Linked DNA regions of Macaca mulatta. The protein of the gene in region 2 interacts with the protein of the main gene of each other region in a pairwise test. Links are inferred from orthologs where the notes say so. Each region holds a gene or a part of one and is shown on either strand. Other genes may lie near its edges.

The links.
Region 1: the proteins of KRT40 (region 2) and MXI1 interact in binary tests that used the Homo sapiens proteins (3 or more experiments, as listed by UniProt). The two-hybrid records come from large-scale screens. The link is inferred for Macaca mulatta from reciprocal best matches to the Homo sapiens genes KRT40 and MXI1.
Region 3: the proteins of KRT40 (region 2) and ZNF202 interact in binary tests that used the Homo sapiens proteins (3 or more experiments, as listed by UniProt). The two-hybrid records come from large-scale screens. The link is inferred for Macaca mulatta from reciprocal best matches to the Homo sapiens genes KRT40 and ZNF202.

Annotation. Positions count from the first base shown.
Region 1 is NC_133414.1:122,396,503-122,404,596, reverse strand, and holds part of MXI1 (max-interacting protein 1), read right to left. Parts: intron 7,891-8,094; exon of another isoform or gene 7,676-7,890; coding exon of another isoform or gene 7,603-7,675; intron 7,205-7,602; exon of another isoform or gene 7,082-7,204; intron 6,996-7,081; exon of another isoform or gene 6,950-6,995; coding exon of another isoform or gene 6,934-6,949; intron 6,813-6,933; exon of another isoform or gene 6,794-6,812; coding exon of another isoform or gene 6,772-6,793; intron 6,599-6,771; exon of another isoform or gene 6,116-6,598; intron 5,710-6,115; coding exon 5,577-5,709; intron 1-5,576. UniProt on the Homo sapiens protein: Transcriptional repressor. MXI1 binds with MAX to form a sequence-specific DNA-binding protein complex which recognizes the core sequence 5'-CAC[GA]TG-3'. MXI1 thus antagonizes MYC transcriptional activity by competing for MAX.
Region 2 is NC_133421.1:65,357,437-65,364,615, reverse strand, and holds the end of KRT40 (keratin, type I cytoskeletal 40), read left to right. Parts: intron 1-414; coding exon 415-576; intron 577-655; coding exon 656-781; intron 782-2,242; coding exon 2,243-2,463; intron 2,464-2,969; coding exon 2,970-3,069; 3' UTR 3,070-3,914; downstream 3,915-7,179. UniProt on the Homo sapiens protein: May play a role in late hair differentiation.
Region 3 is NC_133419.1:124,354,344-124,362,537, forward strand, and holds the start of ZNF202 (zinc finger protein 202), read right to left. Parts: upstream 4,675-8,194; 5' UTR 4,532-4,674; intron 3,526-4,531; exon of another isoform or gene 3,385-3,525; intron 3,242-3,384; exon of another isoform or gene 3,110-3,241; intron 1-3,109. UniProt on the Homo sapiens protein: Transcriptional repressor that binds to elements found predominantly in genes that participate in lipid metabolism.

The DNA.
Region 1 (8,094 bases), on a different chromosome or scaffold from region 2:
GTGAGCCGAGATCTAGCCACTGCACTCAAACCTAGGGGATAAGAGCGAGACTTCTCTCAAAAAAAAAATAGCATACACTTCAAGGAAGCAAACTTACACTTCAAGGAAGCATTTAAAGGAAATCCTGAGTTCTTTTAGTATAAAGCATATAATTCTTGGGAATTTTTCATTTAACTCAATTTTCGTGGAAGACTATCACAAAACACATTTCACTGGAAGTGTTAATCACTCAAAATGCAGAAAATACTGAAGAATAATAACAACATCATTAAGAGTTTAACTGGTACTAATCTACATTTTTGTCCTGAAACTTTGGGAGTTTTCTAGGGGACAAAGACCCAGAAACTATTTTTTAAAATAAAAAACTTTGAAACAGAATAGTGGAAAGACATTACACAAAAATAAAAATAAGGCTTCATTCAATTCTTCTATGAACAAATAGGTTCATGTAGAATAAAGAGAAGATAAAGCATCTCAAATTACTACTGGAAAAAATCCTTTGTAACTATCCTAGGAAAATAATTCACCACCATCCCTCCCTGCAGAAAAACTAAAAATCCATGAAGATAGCCGATAAGGATGCAAAGCTAAAAATGTAACAACACAATAATTCTATCTAAAATAAGACTAAAACATTTCTTTATTCTATAGTTTAAGAAAAATTAAACTAAAGCCTTATAAGCAACAGAAAAGTTGTTTTTTAGTGTCCTCAATCTTAGAAGGTGGAACTGAAATACTGCTGTTATGAGATTCTTTAGTATCTATAGGACACTAAAGAGAAGAAATATATCAACTTGAAATTAAAGCATAAATTGGCTATTTACTACTTCCCAGATTACCTTAAAACAATGCAATTACTATGTGCGTGTCACAGGCTCATACGAATATTTATTGCCAATATTTGACAGACTTCTGGTTCTTTCAATACGCAAGTTTTTATATTATTTTATTTTCACGAAACAGGATGACACTGAACGTTCTTCAAAATTGTGGCATTCTGTAGCCTACTTGTTTAAAAGAATTGACAGTTTAGAGATTTTTATTCTTTAAATACTACATACTGTTTTTCCAAATGTATCATTAACATCCCTTAGAACACAAAGTAATTAGAGTTTGCCAAAGCAGGGGTTCTATCATCCTTCCTTCAAGTCTAATATGGTACTCAGCACAAAAAAGAAACTCAATTTAAGACAGTCTACTTGGAGTTTGAAAACCTTCCATTCTTTAAGAAACACATACTATGTACGGGGCACTGTGGTAAGTACTAGGGATAAATGTTGAAGCAGAAGAGACTCAATCCCTGCCCGCCTCACAGTGTTTTTAATCCAGTGAATAGGATACGAATTTAAGAAAGAATTGGATAACAGTATTTCTATAAACGTGATGAACACTATGAAGGAAAAATAGGGGTGCCATGAAGTATGTGAAGACCTGATCTACTACTATGACAGATGAGGAAACATTCCTGAGGAACTTATGATCGAGCTGAAGGAAAAGTGTTGTTCAACAGAGAGAACAAAGGGGGAGGAAAAATGATTTCCGGCAGGGAACAGAATGTATGCAAAGATCTTGAGGTAGAAGAAAACGTGTATCCAAAGAAGGTTGACCAATATAATTCATAAGAACTGGCCGGGCACAGTGGCTTATGCCTGTAATCCCAGCACTTTGGGAGGCCGAGGCGGGAGGATCATGAGGTCAGGAAATTGAGACCATCCTGGCTAACACAGTGAAACCCTGTCTCTACTAACAATACAAAAAATTAGCCAGGCGTGGTGGCGGACACCTTTGTCCAAGCTACACGGGAGGCTGAGGCAGGAGAATGGCGTGAACCCGGGAGTCAGAGCTTGCAGTGAGCCGAGATCACACCACTGCACTCCAGCCTAGGTGACAGAGCAAAACAAAAAAAAAAAAGAACTGTGGTTGCAAGGACACCAGGTAATAAGTTACTGCAGTCGTCCAGGTAAGAGATGATGGTAGCTGAGATTAGGAGGACAGTAATGAAGATAACAGGAAAGAAGGCCGATTGAAGAGATATTTAGGAAGAAATCAGTGTTACACTGCAGCCATGGCTTATTTAGTAGAGTTTTAAGGATGACAGACCTTGAGATTTTTTCACCTGTGATACCAAATAGTAAATAAGCTAGAATCTGAGCTTATCTGATGCTCCCCAAAGAGCCAGATAGCTATTGCAGCCACATTCTCTAACAGCAGTAACATCTTAGCAATGTTGATTTTTGGAAGTGTGCCAGAAGGCTGTGACCAAGACCACAGTAAAATCAAGCATTTATTTTAAAAATAATTATATATTATAGGTCCCACTTCCAACTATCAGAACCATCCCAAATGATAAAATTACTGGTATTTGCAAGGAACATATCTGTAATATCACATTATATCATTTATTTTCTCTCCTTTGTACTTCTGTGAAAATAAGATTTTAAGGCATGGGGGAAAGGGGAATAGGAATTTATAGTATTCGGAGTTAACTTTCAGCATAAATTTATAAAGTAACTTTTTATTTTTTTATTTTTTGGGATGGAGTCTCACTCTGTGGCCCAGGCTGGAGTGCAATGGCGCAATCTCGGCTCACTGAAAGCTCCGCCTCCTAAATTCCAGGAATTATCCTGCCTCAGCCTCCCAAGTAGCAGAGATTACAGGCACACGCTACTATGCCCGGCTAATTTTTGTATTTTGAGTAGAGACAGGGTTTCATCATGTTGGCCAGGCTGGTCTCAAACTCCTGACCTCAGGTGATCCACCTACCTCAGCCTCCCAAAGTGCTGGAATTACAGGCGTGAGCCACTGCACCTGGCCTAAAGTAACATTTTTGTCAGGCATACCATATAATACCTGAGAATATCAGGGGTAAAAGAGTCAATCACCATTATATCTTAAAGATGCTATGATGTCAAAGAAACAAATGTCATTTTATAACATACATCAATGTTCACGATGTATAGTAATAAAAGCTACTTCCACACTAGTAGCTTTTTGATCAGGTAAAAATAAGACACATATACTTATGAACTCTATTCCTTTCCTTGTTTCAGATGATAAACACATGGATATTTCTGTAAGTCTTCTTTCTGCTTTATGTAACCAGCATAATAAAATCTCTATTAAAATCCAACAGTAAACTTAAAATTAAGAAGAAGCCTACAGAGCCCTCTTTGAAATGGATCAACACTATTGTCCAAATACCCCAGTATTGGAACTTCTACCTCAGCTCTCCTTAATTCCACGAAGCAGGCATTTTAAATAAGAGGCTAAGGAGAAATAATTTCTAGTTTTTCATTTTAACATACTAGTTCTCTCTCATAGGCCCCAGCCCAAACCCCACACATTTGTGGATCTTTTGATAATACATTCTAAAATCTATTTATTTCTCTCTCTCTCTTTCTTGCTACTTATATTCCCATATAAAAGTACCTTCTTTTGTTTTAGGTGGTCTAACGTTCACATATTCTCCTTTGGGCACTATAAGAACACTATGGCATGCTTGCAGTTTTACAAATTTTCCGACATGCTATGCTAAAACACAGTAATTAGCACTGTGGTCCCACACATAATATTAGAATCCTAACAGAAATGCTAGCATGAAAGAGAAACATCACTTAGCCCAAACCCCAAGCTGAGCAAAGTATAAGTCAACAGATGACTAAGAGTTTCTTATTAATGACAGGTAACGTAATTGATAAAAACCTAGGAATGTGCATCTTATTTATGCCTCTACAATCCTTGAGTTCCTAAAAATGTCACATCTGCAATGATGGGAGACATATTAAATTACTAACATAGTAACCAATCTCTAAAACTGTCAATAAATCAGAGTCACAGAAGTTCAGGATAATGAGGGACCTTGGTGAGAATCTAATACATCTCATTTTACAGATGAATATAGTAAGGGATGGGAAATGTACTGAAATTATATACCTAATTTCTAGAAAATAGGAAAGGCTTAAATACTTGCAGCATGACAGAACTCAGGTTTGGTTTCCTATGTGTACTCTTACTATGTCTCCAAGTTGAAAAAAAGAGTTTTTTTAATCTATGTGGATTGAAACATACATAAATTCCTGAATAGGTCTTAATTCTTGATAGCTTAAACACTGAAACTGTAAGGGCAAGCAAATGTACATTTTTTTAAATGCTGTGTATCATACCACATATTTTCATCTCCACCATACTACAACAAAATCTCTAGACCTACACATAACACATATAGTACATCAAGCTTATGGTTAATTATTTTTATAACCTAAGAAATTAAAAACTATATAGTAGTCTTAATGAAAAGTAGCTAAAAAAGGGAACATGCAGCTCTACGGAGAAGTCAAAGGAGAAAAGTGAATCCTAGTTTTTCCTCGGAGATGTCTGAAATACAGAGTGGGATGATCCAACCTCATGAGTTCCAATTGTTATCTATAGAAGCCTCAGGCTTTCTGCATCAAGAGCCCCATTCTGTCCCAATCTGCTGTTCCAAATGACTAACCAACCACCTGACTGAAGCTCCCCAAAGCCTTCAGGGAAATTTGGTTACCCAGGGATTGCTCTGTCCTCCCTAAAATGAATGTTTATTATACTCTCTAGACAAAGCTCTGGGAAACAGAAATAAAGGTCTCATTTAATTCCCCTTATCAATGGAAAAGGCAGCCATCTGTTAATCTTCTGTTAAGAAAGGCCTTTTGAAAACTTCTTATGAGATGAATCCTAGGAATTTACTGGCTCCCCAGAATAAAAACACTGAAGAGACAGCCAGATACTACTCAGAGTTTTCAAAAATGGAAGTCAGCTACATCTTAGTACGTCTATTTTTTTCTCTTTTTGAGACAAAATTTCACTATGTCATCCAGGTTGGTCTTGAACTCCTAAGCTCAAGCAATCCTCCCACCTCAGCCTCCCAAAGTGCTGGAATTACAGGTGAGAGCCACTAGGCCCGTCCTTTCCAAGTACATCTAGACAAGTATATTCTAAAAGATCTATTCTGCTTGAAAGATAAGCAGATTTTTTTTTTCATTTTTGCTTTTAGAGCCCACCAACCAATCGGATCTTATTTAAAGAGGCAAAACTTTCATAGTACGGTCTTCCCTTTCCTCCTTAAACAAATAACCATACCTGCTCACTACCAATTCTACCTAAATATTTTTATTCCTTTAACAAAGCCCTTGATTCTGCTTTATATCCTGCCAGACCTATTTCTGATTTTTTTTTAACCTTCTTGGACTGTCCTAAACTTGACCAGATTATTAAAAGCCACCCCACAATTACTTTTAGCAGGTGGCTGCATGCATGGACACATGCTGCCAAGTTTCTCAAGTTTCTCAACTTACTGTCCTCTCAGTCATAGCCATCTTAATAATCCCAGCAAGAACGTCTTTGGTTGTCTTTCCAGATTCTATTCCTTCCCTTCCATGCAAAACCAGGTTATGATTTCTAGACTTTATTAAAGGGCCAAATCCCCACCCCAGGGTAGTAGTAAAGAAACCCATCAAGTGCTGCTCCTCCAGACTTGGGATTACAGGAGAAATGTGCTCCTTCCCTCCAGTTCCCTCTTCTAAGCGTTCCCAGCTTGCTACCTGTTGGCAGTGCTGGTGTTGCTGCTCCCGCTGCTGTGTTTCTGTGCCCGGCTCAACCTCCGTGGGGGCTTTGAATGCTGCAGTCGGGGGCTTGGCATGGACGGGAATGAAGAGGCGTAGCCATGTTCACACTCTGAAGAGAGCAAGAAAAAAAGGTATAGTAAGAAGAATATAGTACCCAAATCCATTGAACCACAAATCCAAGGTCTTTGCAGTAACAGGTTTTTGAAAGCAAAAAAAAAGGTACAATGTTTCCACTCTTTTTGGTTAGAAGATTAATGTCCCTCGCCTGGACATCAATCCTGTGACACCCCATCAGCTGGAAGGTGTTTTGATACCTCCTCTAAACCAAATAATTTATCCCCCTTTTCCAAAATCCTTCTCTCCCCAAAATTTTTTTTTGAGATTTCAGATGCTTTAGAACATTTTTTGACCAGTTACCATTCGCTTCATTGATTTTACTTGACTCAAAAATTCCCCTTTACTTTCAACTCTCTCTGTTCTAAAGAGTCTCTTTTAAGCCCAATATTTTCGCGTACTTCGAACAAGTCTTACAGAGACATTTTCTCTCTTGACAACAATCTCCGAGTTCCTGCTCTTCCTGCCCCATCTCCACAGTCCCTTGGGCTGCCACCGCCAAAGGGGCCCTATCTCATCACCCCGCAGGTATTCAGAGGCCTCTTCCGCACGCTGCCAGTCCTCTGCCCACTCTCCACCGGCTTTCCCCAGACACCCCCAGCATCCGCGTTCCTCCTTCTTCTTAACTCCCAGCACCCTCTCCCACTCCAGGCCCTGCTGGTTTCTCCATGGTCACCCTCTCTCCAGTCCCGGACCGTCCTCTCTCCAACTCCCCTCCGCCCGTCTCCTTCCCGCTCCCCGCACACCCACAGCCCCACCCTCCGGGCGCACCCTCGCACCTCCCCCCGCACCTGCACGATCTCTCACACACGCCTCCACTCACGATCTCAGCACACACACTTCCCCACGCGCACCTCACGCGCGCGAGCTTCCCACGCACGCGCGCCCCTCCCACACGCGCACGCCCCTTCCCGCACACGTCCCTTCCCGCACACGCCCCTTCCCCCGCACCATCCCTCCCACGCGCGCACCCTCACGCGCGACCCTCCCCGCACACGCCCCTCCTCGCACACGCGCGAGCCCCTCTCCTCAGATGCCCCTCCCCACTTGTGCGCACCCCTGCCCTCACACACACGCATGGCCCTCCCCTCACACGCCCCTCCCTACACACGCACGCCCCTCCCCTCACACCCGCGCACCCCTCCCCTCACATGCGCGCGCCCCTCGCCTCACATGCTCGACCCCCCATGCTCGCACCCCTCCCCTCACATGCACGCACCCCTCCGCTCACACATGCGCGCCCCTCCCCTCACACCCGCGCGCCCCTCCCCTCACACGTCCCTCCCCTCACACATGCGCACGCCCCTCCCCTCATGCGCGCTTCCCTCACACGTCCCTCCCCTCACACGCGCGCACCCCTCGCTCACACGCGCGCTCCCCTACCCGCAGACGCCCCTCCCCTCCCCTCACACGCCCTTTCCCTCACATGAGCGCACCCCTCTCCTCACATACGCACGCCCCTCCCCTCACATGCGCGTTCCCCTCCCCTCATACGCCACTCCCCTCACGCGCGCACCCCTCCCTCACACGCCCCTCCCCTCACACGCGCGCTCCCTTCCCCACATGCCCCTCCCATCACACGCGCGCTCCCCTCCCTCACACGCCCCCCCTCACACGCGCGCCCCTCCCGTCACGCGTGCACCCCTCTCTCACACGCCCCTCCCCTCACACGCGGGCACCCCTCCCTCACACGCCCCACCCCTCACACGCCCGCTCCCCTCCCCACACGCCCCACCCCTCACACGCGCGCTCCCCTACGCTTACACGCACGCACACCCTCTCCCTCACATGCGCGCACCTCACACGCGTGCCCTCCCTCACCGGCCGCACCGCACTCCCCATAAAGATTAGTAGCGCTCGGGCTCACGCAGCGGCGCCCAGCCATTACCTCGCTCCCGGCGCTCCAAAAACTCGGCAGCCTCCAGCAGACGCTGCACGTTGATCATCCTTACCCGCTCCATGGGCACCGCGGGTGGCGATCGGCGCCTCTCTGCACTCCCTTCCCGGGCCGACAGGAGGCGCCGCAGGCGGCTACGGCGAGGCGCCGTCCCGGAACATGTGCGGCAGGCGGGCGGGCCAGCCCGGCCGCGGCTCGGCGCGCTCTCCGCTGCCTCAGCCGCCCCAGCCGCGCCAGCCGCGCCCGCCGTGCCACCGGCAGCCCGCGCGTGGTTTGTTTACCTCTCCGCGCGAGCACGGGGGAGGGGCGGGAGCAGAGCCGCGGCCCGCCCCCTCCCGCCCCTGCCTCTGCCCCCTGGGAAATGTAGTCCCGCCCCCGCCCGCGGCTGCCGGGAATCGTAGTGCGCACGCCGTTTCAGAGCGCCTGCGTTCCGCACGATTCGCAAAGTTCGTCGGAAGGTGTAGTCCCGCTGGGTTTCCTTTC
Region 2 (7,179 bases):
TTAAAAGTCATAAAATATAAAGTGATTAATACAGTGATAAAGCTAGAAAATGAAAAGCTGAATGATGTAACAAAGTACGTTTGCTCTTTGAATATTTGTTGATGACAATCATAGCTAACATTTATTGACACCTTACTATGTGTCATAATTAACTTTTATAAGTTAATTATGTGTAGATTAACTCTTCTAGATCTCACAATAACCTTCTGGAAAAATGTCCGATTATTATGTCCATTTTACAGACGAAGAAATTGAGGCCCTTCTAAGTGGTGAAAAGAGATTCAGCCCAGACAACCTGAATCAAAATCTCACACTTTTACCTACTACTCCACAAAACAGAAGTAGAATGCCATTGGATGTCAAATGGATTTTTCCCCATCATTCTGTGACATCTTTATGCCATCCCACTTTCAGGAAGTCAACTTGCTTCGTGGACAGCTTGGCGACCGCCTCAGTGTGGAGCTGGACACTGCCCCCACCCTTGACCTCAACAGGGTCCTGGATGAGATGCGCTGTCAGTATGAAACGGTGCTTGCCAACAATCGCAGAGAAGCCGAAGAATGGTTTGCTGTTCAGGTCAGCACCCAGATCGAAAAAATGGCAAGGTTACAGACTTCCGCCTTTTGTGAATTCTCTAATGGTGCCTGTGTTTCAGACAGAAGAGCTGAATCAGCAGCAACTGTCCAGTGCGGAGCAGCTGCAGGGCTGCCAGACGGAGATCTTGGAATTGAAACGCACAGCCAATGCTCTGGAAATTGAGCTCCAAGCACAGCAAAGCCTGGTGCGTGAGGCAAAGGCAGTGTCCGTTATGTCACTGATAAGTCAGGCTCTGAGATGTTAAGCCCTCTTCCATATCCAGGGATCACATTTCCTTGCCTTTCCCAAGTACTGCCGTTTACCCAGTATTAATAGAAGCAGAAGTGACAGGTCCACAGCTTGTGTTGTCCCTCTAAGATGCCTTACCTTCACTCCTGGGCTTGAGTCTGATGCTGCAGCAGCCTCCAGAGACAGGGAGGGAGAAGCAGAGCGAGAGAAACCTCCAGGCCATGGTCACTTAAGCATTCCAGCAGGTTTTAATTCTCATTTGATTCAGGCCAGTTTTCCAGGCTCACTGTTATATCTAAAACAAAGAATCATTTTCAAACATTTCATCCTACAGTTTCCCTACAGGATCTACACTTCAACCTGATCCTTCACTGTACCCCACCCCACTCAAGCAACAAGAACACCATGCGTCCAAGATGACATGAACCAGTTCTGGTCAAGCACCACTGTGTGCATGTCATTAGATCCTGCGGAGAATACCTAGGAGAACAATAGCTGAGCATTCATCCAGTGAGAGGCACTATGCTCATTTAAGCCTCACAGTAACTTCACGGGATAGATACCTTTATCCCATGACACAGATAAGGAAAACTGAGACTCAGATTAAGTAACCTGCAAAGGATGCAATTCTAAGAGGCAAACTTGGAAGCTGAGTTCAGCCAGTTGAATCCCAGAGCCTCTTCTCTCTCTCTTTTTAAATTTATTTTTATTGATATACAATATTTGTAAATATTTATGGAGTAGATGTGCTATTTTGTAACATGCATAGAATGTGTAACGATCAAGTCAGGATATTTACAGCATCCATCACCTCAAGTATTTATCATTTCTACGTGTTGGGAGCATTTCAAGCCCACTCTTCTAGCTATTTTGAAATGCACAGTGTATTGTTGTTAACTGTAGTCACCCTTCTCTGCTGTCCAACATGAAAACGTATTCCTTCTGTCTAGCTGTATGTTTGCACCCATTAACCAACCTCTCTTCATCCCCTTACCACACACATGCCCTTCCCAGCCTCTGGTATCCAGAGCCTCTTCTCCTAACAGCACTATACTACCCCTCCCTGCCAAGAGCCCAAACTCAATCTTTCCTCTCATATGCTGTTGATAGTCCTTAAGCTTCACAAATAAGTCATGTATTGCTGTAGTCATAGTGGTGGTAGTGATAGCTGACATGTAGAACAGTGGCAGTACGGCTGGCACTGTTCTAAATGCTTTACACATATTAACTCTTAATCTTCACAACCCTCTAATGAGACAAATACTTTGCATATAGAGAATAAAACTGAGACTCACAGAAGCTAAATAATTTGCCAGTGGTCACATAGCTAGAAAAGGGTAAGCAAGGATTTGAAAATAGGCACTCTGGCCCGAGAGACTGCACTTCATGGTCCTTTGGACAATGTTTCCTCCTGCAGACAGAATCTCTGGAATGCACCGTGGCAGAAACCGAGGCCCAGTACAGCTCCCAGCTGGCCCAGATTCAGTGCCTGATCGATAACGTGGAGAACCAGCTGGCCGAGATCCGCTGCGACCTGGAGCGACAGAACCAGGAGTACCAGGTGCTCCTGGACGTGAAGGCCCGGCTGGAGGGCGAGATCAACACGTATCGGGGCCTGCTGGACAGTGAGGACAGCAGGCAAGTTCCACAGTTACTCATGATATCCCCCAGAGTCACAAAGAGGCTGATGTAAAAGAATCCTGTTTCCCCAAGGTCTGGACAAGTTCAAACCTCCCCAATGTGCTCAGGGATCTTCTTAAAAGAGGGCTGAACAGTGGCTGAGGTTAAGCACATGACACTAGAGATATTTTTAAAATATTATAAAGGCAGATTAATTATTAGTGTAACATTTCATACTGGCATCTCCCTTTGTTCCTGTTTTCCACTAAAGGAAAATCAGGAATAGGCCTGAGATAACATTTGCAAAATCAAGAAAAAATATAAAATTCTATTCAACTGCCACTGCTACAGTGAACATGAAGTGGCAATTCTGGGTGCGGAGAAGAAACAGGCTTCAGTCAATGCTATTGTGCAGAGTTTTTTTCAGAACATAATTTGTGGACAAACTTTGACATGGTTTGTCTGAGTTTCCATTTTATCAAGATTCCCTTGCTAAGCTTGGTTTAACATCAATTTTTCCCCAGGCTTTCCTGTAACCCATGTTCGACCACATGCACCTCGAGCAACACTTGTGAGCCATGCTCAGCCTATGTCATCTGCACGGTTGAAAACTGCTGTTTGTGAATGTTAAGGACAGCAGGTAGAGGAATCAAAGCCGGCAGCATCCTAGAAAGGAGATGGGGCTTCAACAGGGGCATCCAAACAGGAATCACAAATCCAGGGGACGCTCATATCCTGGAACTGCCCTCCAGGTATCCTCAGTCTTTCTGCTTTACTATTTCCTCTCCTTCCGGCTTATTTGTGGTATGCTGGGAGCCCATAAAGTGTTCTTGCTCATCTCCAAATAAAACATGTTTTACTCCTTTCACATGGTAAATATAGCTCTATGGCTGATTAGTGTTGATAGAATATTCATTTTATGGCAAGAGAATCATCTAAACCCATAACCATAGTTTCAACATACAAAAACCCAGGTTGAAAATATTTTTTAACTCCTCAAATACAAACACATTAATGAACCCATGCAAAATGTCATATATCTTAGAAAACAGTTGTGTGTATCTTTCTGAGAAAAAAATTAGGAATAGAATAATAAATTGTATTTTTTTATTATAAAAGTACTAGATTCTCTTTTCTGTAATTTGGCTGATTAAAAGGGAAAAGGTCACTTATGATTTCATCTTGCAAACAGCCATAGTCAATATTTTGGGGTACTTTCTTCTGGTTTTCTTTCTTATGATAGATTTTTCCACACAACTATAATCATACTAACATATGCACACACTTGTGTAATCTTTCTTTCATTTATGTCATCTAAGCATTTTTAATTCTAATCAAAACATAAGATTGTATTGTAGCCATTTTTTGTTTGTTTGTTTGTTTTGTTTTTTAATTTGAGGCAAAGTCTCCCTGTGTCGCCCAGGCTGGAGTGCAGTCGCGCTATCTCGGCTCACTGCAACCTCCACCTCCCAGGTTCAAGCGGTTCTCCTGCCTCAGCCTCCCGAGTAGCTGGGACTGCAGGTGCATGCCACCACGCCAGGCTAATTTTTCGTATTTTTTTTTTTTTTTTTTTTTAGTAGAGACAGGGTTTCACCATGTTAGCCAGGATGGTCTCGATCTCCTGACCTTGTGATCAAGGTCCTTGTGATCCGCCCACCTCAGCCTCCCAAAGTGCTGGGATTACAGGCATGAGCCACCGCACCCAGCCTGTAGCCATCATTTTAATGGTTGCATAATGTACCATAAGGTGCATTGATCTGTTATTGGACATTTAGGTTATAAGAATAATTATTCTCATACATTTAAGAGACAAGGTAGAGAACTTCCAGAATGATTCTATTTCCATATTCCTCCTCCTAAAAACCCTGGAAATTACATATCGAATAAACATAAGAAGACTCTGAAAGGTAGAAGAAGAAGCCAAACCACCTAAAGATATTGAGACCCCAGGAGTGACACTGTGGTGGGCTCCCTGGATTAACTCTTTATCTCATAAATCCCAGAGTGGGAGCTGGACAAACCAACAACCAGAAACACCAATAGGTGCAGACAAAACAAACAAACCAGAAGAGCTTGCTCTGCTTAAAGAACCAAAAAAGAGGCAGCCTAGAAAGGCAGAAAACCTTTAGACAACAACCACTCAACTCAGCCAAACACCACCGAAAATACCATTTTGCCCACCCATATCCACACCAGAAAAGGCCAGGGAGGGAGTCCAGTCTTCTATCCTTCACAGGCTGTAACAAGGCACTCAAACTTCCCCACTGGGGTGGAGTCAGGGAAAGGTAAGTGAGAGATCCAGGACTTTCATTCCTGCTAAGAGACATGGAAGCACCCCCGCCCCACCACCATGGTGTCAGTGGAGACCACACGGGAAGCCTGGACTTAACTCTACAGGCTGCAGTGAGGCTCTTCTTTTCTCCTCTGGGGTTTAGTGTCACAGGAGGCCTACTGGACAGTCAGGACTCTCTCCCTCCTCCAGCAGTACCAAGGCCACCCCCCATGCAGTGTCAGCTGCATGGGAGCAATAACAAGATATTCTTGCCCCTCCTGGCCCGGGTGGTATCAGCAGAGGCCAGATAAGAGTCTAAAATCCTCCCTCCCAGCCGTGATGAGGGGGGCTCTCCCCTTGGGTGTCAATAGGGGCAAAGTGGAGAGAACCTCTATTTCTAATCCCACCTGGTAGGAATGAAGCAGTGTCCCCCGTCCCCTACCAAAACAGTGTCAGAGGAGACCTGCCAGAACAGAAGATTAAATAATATCCTGAATCTCATAACATAATGCCCCAATGTCCAGGTTTCAATCAACAATTACTCTTCATACCAAGGATCATAAAATCTCAACTTACATGAAAAAAGATGATCAACAAATTCCAACATCAAGAGGAAAAAGATGTTAGAATGAACGGACAAGGGTTTTTAACTTTTTATTTTTTATTTTTCTGGGTACATAGATGTATATATTTATGGGGTACATGAGATGATTTGATACAGGCATGCAATGCGTAATAATCACATCATGAAGAATGGGGTGTCCATCCCCTCAAGCATGCATCTTTGGTGTTACAAACATCCAGTTATACTCTTTTACTTATTGACAAGCATTTTTAAACAGTCATCACAAAAATGCTTCAATAAGCAATGCTTCAATAAACTCTTATAACAAATGCAAAAACTGAAAAGTCTCAGTGAAGAAGAAGATGGAAAGACTCCAGTGGAAATTTCAGAACTGAAACATACCATAGAACCAAAATAGAAACCTCAGTGCAGATGGGCTTAACAGCAGAACAGACAGGCCAGACAGGAAAACATCAGGGAATTTGATGATACAATAATAGACATCATCTGACCTGAAAAACAGGAAAAAAAATAGTGTTAAAAAGATAGAGTCGGCCAGGCGCGGTGGCTCACGCCTGTAATCCCAGCACTTTGGGAGCCGAGGTGGGCGGATCACGAGGTCAGGAGATCGAGACCATCCTGGCTAACACGGTGAAACCCCATCTCTACTAAAAAATACAAAAAACTAGCCGGGCGAGGTGGCGGGTGCCTGTAGTCCCAGCTACTTGGGAGGCTGAGGCAGGAGAATGGTGTGAACCCAGTAGGCGGAGCTTGCAGTGAGCTGAGATCCAGCCACTGCACTCCAGCCGGGGAGACAGAGCGAGACTCCGTCTCAAAAAAAAAAAAAAAAAAAAAAAGATAGAGTCTCAGGGAACTTTATGGCTATATCAAATGATCTAACATTCATGTCAACGGAGTTCTGTAAGGGAGGAGAAAAAGTGAGGCCAAAAACATTTGAAGGAATAAACACTGAAAATTTTACAAATATGGCAAAAGACAAAAACCTACAGATTCCAGAAACCAAGCAAACCCCAAAAATTATAAACCCAAAGAAATCTACACCAGGAAATATCATATTCAAACTTTTGAATACTAAAGACAAAACAAATTATGAAAGCAGTGAGAGAGAAATGACACCTTACCAATAGAAGAAAACAATTTAATTGATGGCAGGTCTGTCACCATAAACCATGGAAGCCAATATGAAGTAGGACGACAGTTTTCAAATGCTAAAAGAAAAAAAAAAAAAAAAAAAACTGTCGGCCAGGCGCAGTGACTGACACCTGTAATCCCAGCACTTTGGGAGGCCAAGGAAGATGGATCAAAAGGTCAAGAGATCGAGACCATCCTGGCCAACATGGTGAAACCCTGTCTCTACCAAAAATACAAAAAATAGCTGGGCATGATGGCGGGCACCTGTAATCCCAGCTACTCGGGAGGCTGAGGCAGGAGAATCGCTTGAACCCAGGAGGCGGAGGTTGCAGTGAGCAGAGATCATGCCTCTGCACTCCAGCCTGGGTGACAGAGCAAGACAGAAAAAAAGGAAGGCAGGAAGGAAGGCAGGCAGGAAGGAAGGAAGGAAGGAAGGAAGGGAAGGAGGGAGGGAAAGAAGGAGAGGAAAGAAAAAAGAAGGAAGGAAGGAAGGAAGGAAGGAAGGAAGGAAGGAAGGAAGGAAAGAAAGAAAGAAAGAAAGAAAGAAAGAAAGAAAGAAAGAAAGAAAGAAAGAAAGAAAGAAAGAAAGAAAGAAGGGAGGGAGGGAGGGAGGGAAAGGAGGGAGGGAAAGGAGGGAGGGAAAGAGAAAGAAAGAGAAAAAGAAAGAAAGAAAGAAAGAAAGAAAGAAAGAAAGAAAGAGAAAGAAAAGAAAGAGAGAGAGAGAGAGGGAGGGAGGGAGGGAAGG
Region 3 (8,194 bases), on a different chromosome or scaffold from region 2:
ATTGTTATATCAAAGAAACCACGCTAAACCAAAAAAACAATCCTTGCTTTGGAGGCACTTTATGAAGTAGGATTAAATGAAAGTGTTGGAATACAGATGAGAAGGAACTTTAAACACACATTCTCCCACCGAAGACCATATCAGCAATGCTTCTAATTACCAATATATCAAAACCCTCTCCACTCCCTGTAACTGGCAGGAGACAATCTGAGGCAAACTCAGTGTACCAAGAAGACCTATGAAAACTTAACCTAGATGGCACAAGGAATGAAAGGGAGTGAATTCCCTGGCTTTTGGCCTTCTAACACATGACCAGTATGCTTCAGACCATGTTTAAAACTGTTTTTGTAATATATTTTTGCCACCTAAGTTTTTTTTTTTTCCCCCTTCATAAAAGTGATATTTGAGTAGCGAGGGGAGAAATGGCTCAAAACTTGTTACAATAGGTTCCAAAGAAAGAGAATAAGGTATAGAGAAAGGGAAGATAGGAAGAAAGAAAAAGAGGTCAAGTATGTAGTAGGTGGTACAGGGAAGTCAGCGGACACTAAGACACAAGTATCTTCTGCCTGGAAATGCTGCAGATTTTGTGGTTAGCCTCAAGATATTAGGTGGGAATAAACATGTCATTGAGAGTAAATGTAAACACAAAAATGAAAAATAAAAATTGTACAATTCACTTTATTCTTAACTAAAATGTTTTTGATGGTTATATATGGCAGGCCTAGGAGGCAATGTTAGACAGTAGATAGCTGCCTTTGGGGGAGGGTGACCTGTGTTCTGTCCCCTGCTCTACGTTGTAAAGAGGTGTCATTTTGGACAAGTCACAGCAGCTCATGTTGAATCTTGGTTTGATTCTTTATCTAAAGGTAGAAAACTGAACCAGCTTTTTGATGCTGATGAGGAGGAGTTTTGAGAGGAACAAGGATATACACTATCTCTGTTGAATATCTGGGCCATAATGTATCAGCCTAGGACACTGAGAGAGATTTATTCAAGAGTTGAGGAGAGCTAGGGGCCAAATAAAGATTTTTAAGTTTTGAGATAGGGTTTTATTCTGTTGCTATGACTGGAGTGCAGTGGCAAGATCACAACTCACTGCAATCTCTGCCTCCCAGGTTCAGGCCATCCTCCCACCCCAGCCTCCTGAGTATCTGGGACTACAGCACATGCCGCCACACCCAGCTAATTTTTAAATTTTTTGCAGAGACAGGGTCTTGCCATGTTGTCCAGGCTGGTCTCAAATACCTGGGCTCAAGTGATCTGCCGGCTTTGGCCTCCCAAAGTGTTAGGATTACAGGTGTGAGCCACTGCACTCAGCCTCAAATACAGACTTTTAGGAGGTCAGATTTATACACCTGTCCATCATGGTCATGTTGGTTAACCTCCATCATGAACCTAGGCTTTTTAAACTTCAGGAAAACTACCCCAAAGCAGTTACTGGCCTAAATAAAGCAGGTCACCCTATATGCCTCAGTTTAAAACAGAACATCACAAATTAACCTGAAGCAGGAAAAGGAGGGGACATCAAACCTGACACCAATCCTGATGAGAGCAAGTGCTCTCATTTGACAGCCAGAGTTAAACTAGATGTATGCAATTCCTACAATGAACATGATCAATGCCAATCAGATAGTCAGAGTAACCATCATTTAATTGGAAATAACATATACAACAGAGCTGACCTGAGGCGTTGCTATAGATAATTCATAACGGCAGTAAATTCAAAAGTCATTTACTATGTTTTTAGCTTTGTCATTAACACACCCTGTGTGGATATCCCCTGTTCTACATCTAGATGACTTCCTTCTGGCTTTCCTCAAGGCTCCCTTAACTTTGAGGAGACGATAAGGGATGGGATCCCTGCCTGTTGAACCAGAGGAAGCTGAGGAGCACCAGGTTTCCACTGAAGACTAAATCATGATCCAAAGAAGGAATCCCAGAAGCCATTCTTGCGTGAGCATGGCTTAACGTCTGTCTCCCACTGTGAGCCCTGGCCTTGAGAGCAAGGGTCTCCTTAGTCATTTTTATATTCCCAGTGCCTACCACTTTGTCAAGCCCTTGGTAGAAAAGGTGTTCAATAAATGCATGTTGAGTTTTATTACGCTTTCTATTTTTCCTCCCCCAACTTGTACATATTACAGAAGCACTGAAAATTCAGAAATCAGCAGGTGTCAGGGCTCCGGGGTAATAAACCATTCACAGGGATAGCTATAGGAATTTGGCATTAGCATTGATTCCAATCTCTTGGGGGTAATCAGGTGGCATAATCATGCCCTGCTTTACTGTGTAGCATAAGGTCAGTGGAGAAAAACATCAAGAAGGGAGGAGGACAAGGGATGGAGTTCAATACAGAAATATCTACCGAGCGTCAATTATGTGTCCCACACTATTCAAGGTACTGGGCAGAGAAAGATTAAAAAAAGCAGAAGCTCCGACCTTGAGGAACTTAACAGGTAGTTAAGAAATAGCAGGATTTTTAGCAATACTAGGAATTCACAGCAACAGCCCAGAATCCCGATGTAATATATACGATCAAAATGTGAGGTCCCTATCAAGAGAATTAAGAAAATCAAGGGGAAGAACTCATCAATACTTCACCTCAAAGTTGGCATATAGCATTTGTTTAGGTACGCTTTCTTAATTTTGCGAACAAAATATTCAGACCTAAGTGATTATCCACAAAAGATCGGATTACTAGTTTCTAACACAGAAGTACTCAAAGGTATTCTGAACCCCAACCTACTGCAATATGTATCACATTTGGCCAAAAGGTAGTTGTTCTCAAAGTGAAGAACCCAGATCTGCAGCATCAGTACCTGAGCCTTGTTAGAAGTACAAATTCTCAAGCCCTAGCACAGACCTATTACCAGAAACTCTAGGGCTGGGTCCCAGCAATATGTGTTTAACAAGCCCTTCAGGCGCTTATAGTAAGTTTGAGAACCACCACCTAGCAAATGAAGTGAATCTGGCGTTCATGCAGAAAGCCATTGCTGGCCAAATTAAAGGGTTTGCTGGTGAGAGAACAGGAAAAGCAAGGGGTCTAGAACTGTTTCACTTTTTAAATCTGTGCCAAATTTACTGGGGAAAAAAATGTAAACCTTTAACTTACCTCATCTGTACAATTTGCAATGGCTGAGTCCCTCACATTGTAGTAAACCTTGTTGTACCCTTGGAATGATTGTCTACTGCAATATAGTATATACACAGAGTACAAAAAGGGTATAGCTGGAGGAGAAAGGGTGAAAGATTATGAATCCCAGGTGTCTGGTCCCAGGAGGAATAATTCCTGTCCTCTCTCCAACCCTGCCCACCCTCTTATGCTAGATAGTAACAGCAAAAAGTTATCCAAGACTGCTCGCATTCACACGCTTCCCACCAACAAACCTCCCATGGCTATCCCACAACCTTTCTGAAGTAGCTTCCTGGATCAAGCCCCACCGGGCAGCTTGGAAGAGAAGCTGGGAGGGATGAGGGGCTCCACTAGCATTCCTTGTGACTTCTGAGTGTAGCTGCCCTGGGTGTCACCTGCAGAGTGTGGATAGAGAAAAAGCAACAGTTCTAAGCCCAGTCTCTAAGTGAGAGCCTGGGATGTGGCACTGCTCCCCAGGACCAAGGTTGTCTAAGAAAGGCTGGGTCTAAGAGTCTCCCTTTGGGGAGGTCAGTACAGATCCCAAGGCAGACAGGATTATCAAAGGGCCTAGATGAGAACATTCATTGTTTAGAAAAATAAAAATTAGACTGACACCTTTTTGAAGGCACGCAGCCTATCCATGGCACACAAACTAACAAACTTTTAGTCAAGACACTCAAGAAGTAGGTATACCCCTGCTAAAAGTAACGCTGGTGCTGAGAAGAGGTGCCAAAACTGGCTGTTAGGAGTGGGAGGAGAGGAAAGTTGCAAGAGGAGACAGCAGTTACTGGCTTGAGGGGAAGCTCAGGGTCTGTCACAGTGGCAGCTGAAAAGCCACTGGCCAAATGGACGCCAAGGACTACTATCATCACAGGTGATAAGATCATGGTTGAATGTATCTGAGTGTGTGCTGGGGGCTGAGAGGGGCTTAGTGGTGTAAGGAGATGGGGCTCGCCGGGGCAAGGAGCGCGCGGAGACGATCTTAAGCAATATGACCAGGGGTAAGAAAAGGCTGCGGAAAATAAAGGGGCCTAGACCACTCTTCCCCCGGTTCCGGAGGGACAGTTGGCGCGGAAGCGTTAGGAGGTACGAGGTACGGACTAACTACATTTCTGCAGGCCCCAGGAGGGGGCGGAGGGCGGTGGCTGGAAAGGAAAGGAAGCCAGGAGCGCCATCCGTGTCCTCGGAGACACTGGCTCCGGCCACCAGGAAACACAGAGACCACAACGTCTCGGCCCCCTCAGTACACCGCCGCCACCCCTTCCCCAGGACACGGCGATTTCCCCAAGCTCTGGGGGGCGGGGTCTCCGGTCCCTCCCCCTCCTCCCCGCCCTGCCCGGCTCTGCCCGATCTGGTCCGGCCCGGTCCAGCCCGGCCCGGCCCAGCCCACTCAGGACTCACGGCTCCGACAGCTCCAGCGGCTCCTCCCCTGCCCCGGCTTCTCTCCCACCCACTCCCGACCGAAATAGCGCCGCCGGATCCGAGCCGCGCGGGGCCTAGCGGGTCGGAACACGTGGGGCCTTTGCGTCCGGAACCGGAAGCGATCGCTCGCCCCGCCTTCTTGCCGCGCTGGAGCCTTTCTAGGCTGTGGGAGGTTTGGTCCTCTCTATGCGCCCTCCGCGGGCTGCGGTTTCGTACTCCCCAAGGACCCAGTGCGAAGAAGCCTCGGACCCCACAGCTTCCGTCCGCGGCCCCCAACTCCACTCTGCAGCGAATAAATTAACATCTTGGGCCTTTCATTTACACGCATACCTTCTGCAAGGGTTTTCTTTTTTCTTTTCTGTTTTTAATCTTTTGTGTGTTTGTTTTCATTTGGATACCTCTACGTGTTTTTCTTGATATTTTTTTTTCTTTGCATTGTCCGCTGCAGCATGGTAGAAAAGGGCAGCGTTAGGTTTGAATACCGGCTCTTGCATTCACCATCAGCAGCAGGGCCTCGGCCGAATCACTCCATCTTTGAACCCTATTGTGCATCATAGAAAATGGGCATAATAATACCGTTTACTCTGAGGACTAAATGATACATTGCCCATGAACTGAATGGAACATCAGAAGCTCAGAAAGAGAATAGTTATGGTATCACTGTTCTTTCTTTCCCTTTGAGTGTTGCTTCGTATTTCTTTACTTTCAGGCTGTCTTACCTGATCTCACTTGTTCGTTTTTGTCTTTTGGGGACCTTTCTGCCCATACCTGACATTTTCCTTTGCTCTCGTCCCTTTTACCCTGTAAGTCACCACTCTCCACGTGCCATGTGCCACCTCGTTTTCATGGGACACGTTGCTGGGATCTGTTTTCTGGGTTTGAACCAAAGGATTAGTTACTTTTGGTGAAGTGGGAGTGTATTAGCGAAATAGAACTAATAGGTGTGAACCCAGAAGGCAGGACAACTCCAAGCGGGGAGGGGGGCTTCCAGATCATAGGTAGATAGGAGACAAATAGTTGCATTCTTTTGAGTTTCTGATTAGCCCTTCCAAAGGAGGCTGTCAGATATGCATTTATCTCAATGAGCAGAGGGGTGACTTTGAATAGAAGGGGAAGCAGGTTTGCCCTAGGCAGTTCCCAGCTTGAATTTTCCCTTTAGTTTAGTGATTTTGGGGGCCCAAGATGTTTTCCTTTCACACAGGGTATGTATAAACATATAAAAGGAGATTTATTATAAGGAATTGGCTCACATGATTATGGTCGTTGAAAGGTCCCGACATCTGCTAACTGCAAGCTGGAGAACCAAGGAAGCTGGTGGTATAATTCAGTCTGAAGCTGAAGGCCTGAGAACCGGAAAGAGATTGAGGTGCTGGTGTCTGAAGGCCAGAAAGCAGGAGGAGATGATATCCCAGCTCAAGAAGAGAGAGGTGAATTTACTCTTCCTCTGCCTTTTTATTCTGTTTGGGCCCTCAATGGATTGGATGGTGCCTACGCATATTGGTGAGAGTGATTTTCTTAGTCTACTGATTCAAATGTAATCTCTCTTTTTTTTTTAGACAGTCTTGTGCAACCTCCGCCTCCCAGTTCTCCTGCCTCAGCCTCCCTAATAGCTGGGATTACAAGGCATGCGCCATCACGCCCGGCAATTTTTTTTTTTTTTTTTTTTTTTTTGTATTTTTAGTGGAGACCGGGTTTCACCATATTGGCCAGAAACACCCTCACAGACACACCTACTAATAATGTTTTACCTGTTATCTGGGCATCCCTTAGCTAGTCAAGTTGACACATAAAATTACCCAATACAAAGAGAAATATACATTTCATGAAAGCCTACTGGGTACCAAATGTTTTTCTCTGTAAATCTCATTGAATATTTAAAAATATTAGTATTAAGTGCATAAATAATACATAAACATGTTCTTCTAAACATTTGCTGCATTACAGTGTTAAAGAAAAAATTATTCAGTGATACTTGTTAAAGCATGGTAAGGGAGACCTTATTCAGGAGCAGGAAAGGTAAACCACTGCAATGAAGTCTTGCTGTAGGGACGAGAGATTGGGCTCAACTCTAAATACAGAATGGGCAAGTGGGAATTTATAGTCAAGGAAATTTTTTTGGAGTTTGGGATGCCAATGGATTGAAAATTACTAAGGGGAACCATCAGGCATAAGGGGGATTCTGGCTAAGTCAACCTAATGGGATTCTTGCTGAAGACAGGTCAGGGTGATCAGATATCACCTGTGGGATGGTGGAGGATGAGGACCCTGACCAGGTATTAAAGATGGTCAGATATCAAGGATGGGGGAGTTCCTGCTAAAGGACTTAGAGTTCTTTGCTAACATTAGATCTTACAAGGAAGTACACCAATAGCCCTAGGAGGAGTTTCAGAAGCCTGACAAGTTTGGCGAAGAAAAGAGATTTTGTGAATGGATAACCCTAATGACTTTTTTTTTTTTTTTGAGATGGAGTCTTGCTCTGCCTCCAGGCTGGAGTGCAGTGGCACCATCTCGGCTCACTGCAACCTCACCCTCCCGGGTTCAAGTGATTCTCCTGCCTCAGCCTCCTGAGTAGTTGGGACTACGGGCATGCACCACCAAGCCCAGCTAATTTTTGTATTTTTAGTAGAGACAGGTTTCACAATGTTGGCTAGGATGGTCTCAATCTCTTGACCTCATGATCCGGTGGCCTCAGCCTCTCAAAGTGCTGGGATTACAGGCGTGAGCCACCGCGCCCGGCCACTAATGACATTTTTACCAACCCTGGCTTCCTCCTCTCTCTCCAGAAGTTAGCTGTTCTTATGACCCGAGTGTGTTTATCTTCCAGATCTTTTTCTTTATTTTCATGTGCTGTGTACATATGTATCCACAGAAAGTAAATAGTATTATTTTCTGTGTACATATGTGTATGCCCGTGTGTTCATGTTGAATTCTTCAATTTGTTTTCTCTTAGCAGTGGGCCTTGGAGATCTGTTGATAGCAGTAAATAAAAATCTCCCTTATTCCTTCTACTTTCTGCATAACATTCCATAGTGTAAATAGCAATTTGCCTATTGAAAACATATGTTTTTATAATTGTTGGGGTTACAAACAATGCTATAATGATCACCCTCTTTGTGCATACGTGCACAAAGACGGACACTGAGAAAGAGTATTGCTGGGTTAAAGGTTGTACACATTTAATGAATACTGTCAAGTTTTCCTCCCAAATGAATGCACCTGTTTACACTCTTAACAGCAGCGTATGAGATTTTTCCCCCCATATCCATGCCCTTACATCATGTTGCCAAATTGTAAATCTCAGACAGTTTAATGGGCAAACACAATATCTAATTGTTTTACTTTGCCTTTCCATCATTAATGGTGAGACTGAACTTTCTTCCATACATTTGTTGGTAATTTGTAGTTTTCCTATGAGTTTTATTTTTCTATTGGACTTTTTGTTTTTTTAAATTGGTTGTTAGATGTTCTCTATGTATCCTAGATCCTAATCATTTTACATATATGTTGCAAGAGATATATCAATTTTATGTGTCAACTTGACTAAATTCATGAAAACGTACTGTGTACAAGATATTTTTCTCTATAATCTCCTTGAATATTTTAAAATATGAATATTAATGTTTTCCTTACCTTTATAGATTA